3 linked regions of the Oryzias latipes genome follow. Each later gene encodes a partner of the first gene's protein in a complex. Links are inferred from orthologs where the notes say so. Each region holds a gene or a part of one and is shown on either strand. Other genes may lie near its edges.

Region 1 (3,755 bases):
TATGATTATAATGATGATTATGATTATTATTATTGCTTTGTTTTATTGATCCATTATCATTATTTTTGTTCGGTTGTCAAAAAAAGAATAAATAAAAACTTGAATTATAAGAAAAACAACAATGGAGTTACGGCTCATTTTAAATGTTTAAACTGTTTTTCGTCCTCTTTTTCTGGTAAATTAAACTAATCGTAACATTAGTAAAAGGTTTTTCCACATGGTTCTAAAGTAAGCAAATGATAGTTAATTTTTAAGGTAATTGGATCTGTGAACACTGTGAATGTATAACTGCAATCCAGTCATCATAAATGATAATTTGAGAAACAGGTGTGTTGTGCTATTTGAACACCACAGATGCAGAAAGTTGTCACATTTCGTGTTTAACTAAAATTAGAAAAAGTTGAAGAAGGCCTGTAAGTCAGTATTCCGGGCTGCAGCTGTAAAGTTTGATCAAAAGTGAACATAAAACTGTGATTTTTGCTGTAATGACGTTATATTAAATGCCGACATCAAGAAAATGGATATTTTAACTAAAAGCAATAATTCGCTGTTCAAATCCAACAGAACATCCTTTATTGCATCTTCTTTCAACTATTTATAGTGCATCCAATTGCAACGCATGCAGACTAAAGTTTTTTTTTCTGAACTGACAGTTTAATTAAAGCTAGAAGTAATATTTTTTTTCTTTAACGTGTGTTTCTGTTTGTTAGTTTTTATACGTTTTAATGCTTGTACAGCTCTAAGTTAAGATTCGGTTTATTTTTTATGTTTCGTAAAATATTTACAATACTAAACATTTACCCAGAGTGCACTCTGGTAGACTTTTCTAGACGTCAAACAGAAATGACACGCTTGGTTTTCAAAGTAAGAGCGAACATTTAGATAACGTGTTAACATTTTAAGAAAAACACATGTAAGATACGTGATAACGAAGATTAAATTGGCATGTAATTTATGGTTTGGTGTTTTGGGAGAAACTTGCATAAAAAAACGTTGCCCACTCCAAGTCTCTTCCGTTCACGGGTTTTATTTTGAAACTAAAAACCGGAACAGCTCCCGTTTCTTCCCCTGTGGGTCGATCTGCACAGCGAAAGAAGCGAGGAGTTCTCTGCTAACCTCTGGATCCAAACTCGGCGGATTTTTTTGGAGATCATGCAGAAGCCGTGAAATGAGCGTGTGAGATGATATCACCTTCGGACGTGAGGATTACCGTCGATGCCCCGTTGATGAAGGCGCGCGGGACGGGCCTCCGGAGGAGCTGCTGCTGCTGCGTTCATAAACACTTCTTTAGGACTCACAACAAACCCTGAGCTTTGGTGCTCCTCAGAGCCCCAAGGCACCTGTGCACGTGCGGAGTAAGGATGGCTGGAGGAGGAGGTAAAGCGAACATGAAGCCCCTCGGCGGGGTTCACAGGCTCCGAGAGGAGCACGAGAAGGTAAGAGGAGCGCGTGAGCAGATCTGCAGCTGCGGGCCACGAGGCTTGTTTCCTTCTGAAAACATCCTCCTCTGCAGACATGAGCCGCAAATACGGAGAAAGAAGATTCGTTTCTTTTCTTTGCCCTGCTTCAGGTGAATTAGATCAACCCACAAGCCCCTCCCCCAAACCTTTACCTGAGCTTTTACTCCTGCAGGTTGTTTGGTTTCAGACTCCATGTTTACAGGCTGCCTTTGCTGCTAACTTCTGTTTTTTCTCTCTCTCTCTCTTTCTCTCTGTTTGGCTAATAAGGAACACAAAACTCAGTTTGATAGCATGAAAACATGTATGTTGTGTTGAACGTGTCATGTTGTTCATGAAAGCATTTTTTTCCTGCATCAGGTGGTGAAAGACTGTGACTCACGGATTCAGCATTGGTAAGCTGCACAGTCCTGAAAGTTTCTCCTCTTCTACGGTTTCCTCTCTGCTTTGAGTGTGAATGTGTACGACTTGGATATGAATGCAACAAAGACGCTCAAAGTTTGCAGGAGAATAACCCCCCTCCCTTTTTTTTAAGCTGCAGTCATGGATTTAGATGATCGCATTTTCAATTTTAGAACTTGACGGTTAAAGCTTCCCATATTATTTTCCTCATATGGCAAAGACAAAAGTTTTTCTAGGATTTAGCAGTCTATCGCCACAGCATGATACTTCCGCCACCCTGCTTTACCATGGAGACACGCCCCCACAGAAGACTAGTTTAGCTCCTAAACCGTCCCTCGCCCACAGTCGGCCCTGATGCAACATTTCCTTTTGTGGTCCGTTAGCAACTTCCATATTTTTGCAGAATTCTCCCCTTTTTCTTTGCTTTCTCTTTCATTTTCTAGGATGTATGAGAACAAAATAATTCAGAAAGATGCAAAAAACAAACCAGATCAGCCAATTTAAACTCCACTATCTGATGAGGTTGACATCGTTTACTCGCACCAGGCGAATAATCTTAAGAAATTAGGTAATAATTGGCGTTTATTTGTTTAGGGAAACGTTTATTTTTTCTGCTCTGTTTTTTTTACTATATAAACTATAAACTTTCAGGTTATTTTGTGAGTTATACTCTTGTAAAAATGTAGTTTAAATGCATTTAAATGTCCTTTTTTCCTTAAAGATTTTCAGCAGTCATTTATTTTGGTTTTGTTTACAGTCTTCATGAAGGCGTAAAAGTTTTTTTTAATCTCTAATGCAAGTTAATAAAAGTTAAGATGTTTTGGTTTAAAGTAGTTTTCCTTATAGATGATTGTCATTGCCCCCTTGTGGCCATCTGAGCAATAACATCCTTTAACTTTACTCATCATTTTATACCCAAATCGCATCAATTGGGTTAAATTCTGAATATTTCTGTGACCCGACCTGCAGGATGAAGGTGTCGGGTGATTACGACGCGCTCAGCGATCGACTCAAAACCCTCCCAGACCGGCTCTCCTATGACATCATGGTGAGCGCTCGCCGTTTCACTTGACAAGTTTACAGAGTGACCCAAAAACCAAAACTTTACTGGAAGTTCTGTGTCTCCCGTTTGCTCCATGTTCGCGCCCACTTCCTGTCAGCTGCTCTGACTAACCCGGTTCTGTTCTGTGGCCCGTCCGGGCCTCCTTGTGCTGTGAGCAGGTGCCCTTCGGCCCGCTGGCCTTCACGCCCGGCAAGCTGGTGCGCACCAACGAGGTCACCGTGTTGCTGGGCGACAACTGGTTCGCCAAGTGTTCGGCCAAACAAGCCCAAGCGGTGGTGGATCACAGGATGAAGCGTGAGTTTCTGAACGGCGGCGTGTGGCTGCAGAGCGGCGGCCTGTGGCTGCAGAGCGGCGGCCTGTGGCTGCAGAGCGGCGGCGTCTCCAGCGGGGGGCGGCAGTGCGTCACATTCCGACAGCCTGAGCTTTACTTTACAGACGTTTCTGGGCTCAGGATGAAGTACGTCTTTGTGTAAAAGCGTTTGGACTCGTTCTTTACGTCAGTGACGGCTGCAGGCTTAGCCCCCCCCCCCCCCCCCCCCCACCACCACACTTTTGTGGCCAGGTTATAGACCGCTATGGTCGTTTGGCGTGTTGTCCGGACGCTACAGCCTTTACCTCCACATAAAAAAACCCTCTCTGATTTGAACATTATTAGACTGTTTAGTGAAGCAGAAATGCCCCCCCCCCGCCCCCCCCTCTCCTGACCCCCGCCATCCCTGCTATTACACAGCTAAGTGCTGTAATGCAAACACAGCGAGCTGAAATGTGTCAGACAGCGGCTGAGCTGTCTGGCCTTCTGCGTTTGACCTTTCCTCACTTCCAGTTGATGCACT
Region 2 (3,140 bases), on another chromosome or scaffold:
TTCTTTTCAGGCTGCTTTTTTGGCTCTTTTAGTTTAAAGGCCACATTAAGAAGGTCTATTGGTTGATGAACAGGTACATGTTTGTCTGCTAAGACAGCGAGGATCATTGAATCAATGCCTCCTGAAAAGAGTATAGCAATGCTAGCCTGGCCACTGCTAAGAGGTAAATTATCTTTTGCCACAAAAGGCAACGAATGAACTCGTCGCCTCACCGCCTCACTCAGGACACCAATTAGACGGTTCACAACTTCAGTTTTCTCCTTGCTGATTAGAAACTCCTCTAGATTTCCTCCAGACACCTGTGAACTGGGATTAACTTCAACCTTTTTTTCTGGAATGGACATATTCAAAGGACAAACAGGTGAAGTGATTGATAAACCTGCTCGATTTATCTCAAAATTGCACCCACTAGGGACAGAGTTAACCATCATTTCACTCAATGATGGGTTTATGACATTTCTTGCCCAGGGAAAAAGCTCAAAGGACACAGAACCACTCTGTGCAGCTGCCTTTACATCAACCTTAAACACGCCAACAGCTGGGACTTCTTTCCAATCAGACTGACCCAGCGCAGAAATCCCAGCTGCCACTGAGGTCAAAGTGAAGACACTGATCTCGGCGTCATATTTCCACAGCAAGCTGCGCCTTCCAAAAAGGTCTCTCCCAAACCAGAGATAATCTTCAGCCTTTTGATAGAAAACAAATGCCCAAGGCCCTTGAATGGCAGACAGAAGTGCCAGAACCTCCAAAGAGTTTTTACAAGATGACAATTTCTGACAGATGACAGTGGTGTCATTCTCTTCTGGCATCACAGAAATCCCTCCAAAAACCTCTCCATTCCACATCAAGACATTTCCAGCGTCGTCTTGAAACGGCTGAAGAGTAAGGAGGCCTCTCATATGGAGAACATGGGCAGAAAATGAGCAGTGATAGCTCAAATCTACAGCAGGAAACGATAGCTCCCTGCTAGAGTTGGGGCCCCTTCTCTTCAGAAATTCATAAATTCTTTTGTCCTTCTCAAATTGAGCAGCTGACAAAGTCAACTGGAAAAAGATTCCACACATTGTTGCAGCTCTAAATATCCTGCAGTTCTTTTTTCAAGTAATCCAGTTCCTCTGCAAGAATAAAAATAAAAAAAGTTTTAAAAAAAAAAAGGTGAGTTATATTGTAGTATGGTACAACATTGTAAAAATTTCAATGCAAGAGGATAAATGAATACTAACACATACTTCTGCTTGTAGACAATGTTTGACTTCTGTCAGCCAGGAAGAAAATGTTGCTGTTTCTCTGTTGGATGTAAACTTTCTGAAGAAAAGAAAAAAAAAATCAATAAAAAATGAATTTATTACGACGGATGGATGGATTTATGGATGGATGGATGTAAAAAGGTAATTACCGTACCCTGTTCTTCTTTAGGTTAGAGAGTTCATCCACAACGACCTTTTGCTCTTTGATCTGGAAATTAGCAACAAGTTAACGTTAACAACCCTATGATGATGAAGCCATCAGGAGATGTATCCCATCATGTTAAGTTTTAATTTAAAGATCAGCAGTCCTTCATTTTTCCAGCAAACATGAGAAAATCGAAACTTATTAAAACAGTAAATACATACTATTGGTGCGTAAATACTAACAAAAGTATTGCTATTCGTTTTTCCGTTCTACTATACATGCTGAAAAAGGTGAATAAACATATCCGTGTTGTTTAGCCAGCTAACAGTAGCGCGTCTTTGATATAAAGTTACCTTTTTACTGAGTTCCTCTTTATATGTGGTTTGCTCTTGGGAATTATCGCTGTTATTGTATTTTTTTGAAGACATTTTCATAAAGGAGCCACGAGGGAAAACTTTTTATCTAATTTTTCTCTTAACAGCGTCTACTTCTGCGACAAACATGTCCGGATATGCGTCATAACCGTTCCGGGTGAAGAAATAGGTGGGGAGTTCGAAGCACACTGCCGCCTAGAGGCCAGATTTGTAAAACACCCGCTACACATCTCAGGGTCCGGGGCCTGCCAAATTATAGGTAACCAAGGGGTAAACACAGATTGAATAAGAATGTCTTTAAATAACAGATTTGATGTAATTTACTTTCTTAAGACTAAAAAAATAGTATTGGGCTACTACAAAAAAGTTTTTTAAACGGAATTGGGTTAAAATTTAATCAGCTAAGCAAGTTCGAGACAGAAGAAGTTAGACTTTTCTGTTTCTACCCGGTTTTAATTTTCATTTAAAGTGACACTTCCATATAAGAAAAAAGCAACAAAAAGAAACACTGATTAAATAAAATCAATTAAGCATAAATTAAATAATGAATCCATTGCACATCTGATATGTTGATCATTTTTGATCAGTTTTCAAAACCACCTGAAGCTATTAAGTAGTCTTTAAAAACACCCAATTAACTGTCTGTGTCTTGTTCCTTTTTTTCTTTTCCTTTTTTTTCTGACATCAGAGCCTCTGAAAGCTGCACCTTTGTTAACCCTACCCTTTACTTTAACCCCAGAAACACTTCTTAAAATATTGCTTTTGGGGGGAAATACACCTCCAGCCAATTGTTGCTAGGCTGGAACAGTATCTCTAGTTAAAAAAGTATTTTTTCATTGTTTACTTGTAAAACTAAACTAAAGTAGTGGCTGAAGACAAACCAACCTGCCTTGTCTTAAGATAATTTAGCTTTTTTATATTTTAGTTATAATATGACATGCTTTCATCTGCTGATGTTGAATCATCAAATTAAAAATAACACATGCAAGTGCATTTTTTCGGGGACTAAAGCTTTTTGTTGACTTGATCTGTCTGTAGACGAACAGATGCTTAACCCCCTTTAAAAGCAGTTTCAACCTAACCCCCACCTCCCTGCTCAAAGATCACACAACCAAAAAAAAATGAATGTTGAAATACCTGCTGAACTCTGCAGCTTATTTCAACCTTGTCTTTGCCTTTTTTCTTTTGAAGTCTCTCAGCATTTAAATAGCTTTTGCATACCTCATAGTTGTTTTGTTTTTTTTACTCTTCAGTTTGAGTCAAAACTGTGCCATGAAGCTCCTAAGATGGAGAGAAAGCTAAAATAGTATTTTTCCTTATTTATGCTGCTGGTGATCTATTATTATTGAAAAAAATAAAGTTTGCAGTTGTTGG
Region 3 (3,688 bases), on another chromosome or scaffold:
CACCCCGGTGAAAACGGTGTTTTTTTAATATGGAGGACAAATATGACAGAATTGAAGACAGTTCCAGTGTGTCTTATATTAAAGTACAACTAATTACGGTTGCAATATTTTCTAACACTGAACCTCTTTGCTATTGCCAATAACTGTGTCTGATCTGCGAAAAAGAAAAATGATAAAAAGAATAGGAAACTGTAAAAAAATATAACCTGTTAGACTCAAATGAAAGGTTGATATTTTCAACTGAACCTTAAATATTGATGGATTACTTAAATTTGTATTTTGACTTGTGAAAGATTTAAAAGAGGAAATTGACTACAGTTGGATATGACATTTATAAAATAAATCATGTAAAAAGTGCCGTTGCGATTGGTAAGGTTAGTGTGTATTCTTCTCATAGAATGGTGTTAAACAGCGTTCAGTTGTCAGCTTTGCTCGTCTAAAACCAGAAGTACGGTGACACAATGGCGCCCATGTCTCTGTTTTGTCTGACGTCACCATGAAAAGGGTCTATTGGCTTCATTTCTCTGGAGCCGGAAGAAAGGCGACGTCACCATGGCTCAATTCTCTAATAAAGTCAATGTAATCTAATGGGAGAGTGTGTAAACAAAAAAGGGATGATGGGATATCAGCAGGGGCTTACGTCCGTGCCAACAGTGATGCCCACACAGGTTTTTATGAATTTGGCTAAAAACAGAGCATTCATAAATATAATACCACTGGGGACTCCTTTAAAAATAAATCGAAATATGATTGGAGTGTAACTTAAACTTTTGGTTATTTTATGGATAAAAGGATGAGTTCCCAAATTATTCTCAAGTATAAACCTACCAGGAAAGAAAACAAACATTTGATCAGTGGGATCATCGTTGTGTGCGACCAAGACTGTAAGGTCCGTCCGTCTGGGACGACCCTCGCTGGGTTTGTCTCCGAATTGACTCTTGAACTCCTCCAGGGTCTGGTCCAACTCATCTTGTGTTACCAGATAGCCTCGATCGTGGCAGAGCTGTGGTTAAAAAAAACAAACAACATTTTAATATGTATAGTGTTGGCCAAAGGTTTTGAGAATTACATAAATATTGGAAATTGCAAAAGTTGCTGCCTAGGATTTTATAATAGCAATTTGCATGTTCTCCAAAATGTTACAAAGAGTCATCAGATGAATTGCGTAGTCCTTCTTTGCCATGAAAATTAAATGAATCCCCCCCCCAAAAATCATTTCAGTCATCGTCTTTTTAACTCAGTTGAGAATGTTGACGAGCACAAGACTGGAGATCATGATGTCAGGCCGGTTGGGTTAGAATGGCAGACTTGACATGTTAAAAGGAGGGTGATGCTTGAAATCATTGTTCTGCCACTGTTAACCATGCTGACCGGCAAAGAAACGTGTGCAGCCATCATCGCGTTGCATAAGAATGGCTTCACAGGCGAGGATATTGTGGCAGCTAAGATTGCACCTAAATCAACAATTTATAGGATCATCAAAAACTTCAAGGAAAGAGGTTCAATTCTTGTTAACAAGGTTTCAGAGCGTCCAAGAAAGTCCAGCAAGTGCCAAGAATCGTCTCCTAATGGGTTTTAACTGTGGGATCGGAGCGCCACCAGTGCAGAGTTTGCTCAGGAATGGCAACAGGCTGGTGTGAGCGCATTTGCATGCACAGTGAGGCGGAGACTTTTAGAAGATGGCCACTTATCCACCCCAAAAACAAACATCAGGGACAGATTGATCTTCTGCAAAAAGTATGGCGAGTGGACTGCTGGGGACTGGGGCAAAGTCCTATTCTCCCATGAAGCCTCTATCCGATTGTTTGGGGCATCTGGACAAAGGCTTGTCCGGAGAAGAAAAGGTGAGAGCTACCACCTGTCCCGTGTCGTGCCAACAGTAAAGCATCCTGAGACCCTTGATGTGTGGGGTTGCTTCTCATCCAAGGAAGTGGGCTCATTCGCATTTTTCTCCAAAACCACAGCCATGAATAAAGAATGGTGCCAAAACTCCCTCCAACAGCAACTTCTTCCAGCAATCCAACAACAGTTTGGCGTCAAACAATGTATTTTCCAGCACGATGGCGCACCGTGCCATGAGGCAAAAGTGATAACTAAGTGGATCGGGGACCAAAATGTTGACATTTTGGGTCCACGGCCTGGAAACTCCCCAGATCTTAATCAATCTGGGTTGCTATCGGTCAGGATTTGGCCCTAAAGTTGATTGACAGCATGCCCAGTCGAATTGCAGGGGTGCTGACAAAGGAAGTCCAACACTGCAAAACCTGACTCTCTGCATAAATGTCATATAATTATTGTCGATTAAAAAAAGCCTAAACGTAATAAAGAGCTGATAACTATATTTCAGTACATCACAGAAACAAAAATCTAAAAGCAGTTTAGCAGCAAACTTTGTGAAAGTGTATTTAATGATTTGAAGCATTCATGTTGTCATACATGTAGTCTACATGTACGAAAACATGTTGGCTTTTTTTAATGGGTCATCATGGGTGTGCTAAAGTTAGCCTTCGTTCAAACGAGGCTAACGAATGCATCATTCCTACACATAATAATTAAAAAAAAAAGTCTGAGCGCGTAATTGGAACGACTTGCACTGAGAATAAGAGATTAACACACAAAACGTAAAAGATTTAGTTACAACTTTAACAATGGCAGTCAAAAGCGACTCTTTAACGCGAGCCACATGTGAAGCTAACAGCTAGTTCGCTGCTAAGCTAGTATATCCTTTTATTTAATCCACCTGCATTATTGTTTTACGGATCTTCCACAGCCGGTAAGTTTCCTCTTCATCGTCCATCCTTTCTCAATTTATTCTCCTTTTCGTATTTTTAAATCACTAATATTCTTCTAAAAATCCGATGGCATCGATGGTTCCTGGCTTGGCCAATATTATATACCACAATGCATTGCGTTTGATCGAGTTGACGTTTAAAAAAACTGTTCTTAAAGAAAAGTCCTCCAGGTTATTATCTTCAGAGCGAATTTATTAAGTCTTCATAAAATGTTCTTAATTATTCGGTATTTTTTTTTAACTTCGGCTAATTGGAAATGTAAATCTGAAGACAATTTACTTATGGTAAAAAAAATAAATTAAAATAAAAATTTGCTTCAGAATTAAAAATCTCTTTCTAAATTTATTTTTTACTGACTGAATTTAGGTTTTAAAAAAGCTTAGTATATTTTGCTAATAATAAATAAATATATCACCTTCTATGTTTTAATTATGACACATTTTATCTATAAAAATAGATAAAATCTTAGAATGTAGACGAGGGTCATTGAGTATAATTTAAGTACGTCATCTTGACTCTTCTTTAAATTAAACTGTTGCAGTGAAATAGAAACTGTCTTTTGGCTGTTTTGCTATTTGTTCATGTATCGCTAGTTATATCGTCATCGCAATATTGATCATTGATATCGCAGAACGCGAGTTTCCTCATATCGTGCACCTCTATCTCCTACCCCCCCCCCTTTTTTTGAACGTTTTGACCTATATTTTATTTTTATTTTTGTTTTGAAAAACCTCATACGTCATTTCCTCCTTGTCTTGTCAAGCATTTGACTCCACCCACTTGAGTTTCACAACACTGGGTGGAAATGAGTCACGTGCGCTTACAATGAACAAAATAGATTTTTTCCGATAACTGGGGCCTTTTTATTATTATTTTTATTTAAGTCGCTGTCAAAA

What was found.
Region 2: uri1 (region 1) and ASNSD1 upstream open reading frame protein share a complex: the UniProt entries of both Homo sapiens proteins name them as parts of the PAQosome complex. The link is inferred for Oryzias latipes from reciprocal best matches to the Homo sapiens genes URI1 and ASDURF.
Region 3: uri1 (region 1) and polr2e share a complex: the UniProt entries of both Homo sapiens proteins name them as parts of the PAQosome complex. The link is inferred for Oryzias latipes from reciprocal best matches to the Homo sapiens genes URI1 and POLR2E.

Annotation. Positions count from the first base shown.
Region 1 is NC_019864.2:30,477,000-30,480,754, forward strand, and holds the start of uri1 (unconventional prefoldin RPB5 interactor 1), read left to right. Parts: upstream 1-1,043; 5' UTR 1,044-1,361; coding exon 1,362-1,436; intron 1,437-1,817; coding exon 1,818-1,852; intron 1,853-2,828; coding exon 2,829-2,907; intron 2,908-3,080; coding exon 3,081-3,216; intron 3,217-3,755. UniProt on the Homo sapiens protein: Involved in gene transcription regulation. Acts as a transcriptional repressor in concert with the corepressor UXT to regulate androgen receptor (AR) transcription.
Region 2 is NC_019879.2:16,672,434-16,675,573, reverse strand, and holds ASNSD1 upstream open reading frame protein, read right to left. Parts: upstream 1,906-3,140; 5' UTR 1,827-1,905; coding exon 1,746-1,826; intron 1,456-1,745; coding exon 1,402-1,455; intron 1,306-1,401; coding exon 1,230-1,305; intron 1,116-1,229; coding exon 1,075-1,115; 3' UTR 1,065-1,074; downstream 1-1,064. Other genes in the region: asnsd1 (asparagine synthetase domain-containing protein 1), read right to left, coding at 1-1,064.
Region 3 is NC_019862.2:26,975,217-26,978,904, reverse strand, and holds the start of polr2e (DNA-directed RNA polymerases I, II, and III subunit RPABC1), read right to left. Parts: upstream 2,915-3,688; 5' UTR 2,798-2,914; coding exon 2,741-2,797; intron 1,004-2,740; coding exon 829-1,003; intron 1-828. UniProt on the Homo sapiens protein: DNA-dependent RNA polymerase catalyzes the transcription of DNA into RNA using the four ribonucleoside triphosphates as substrates.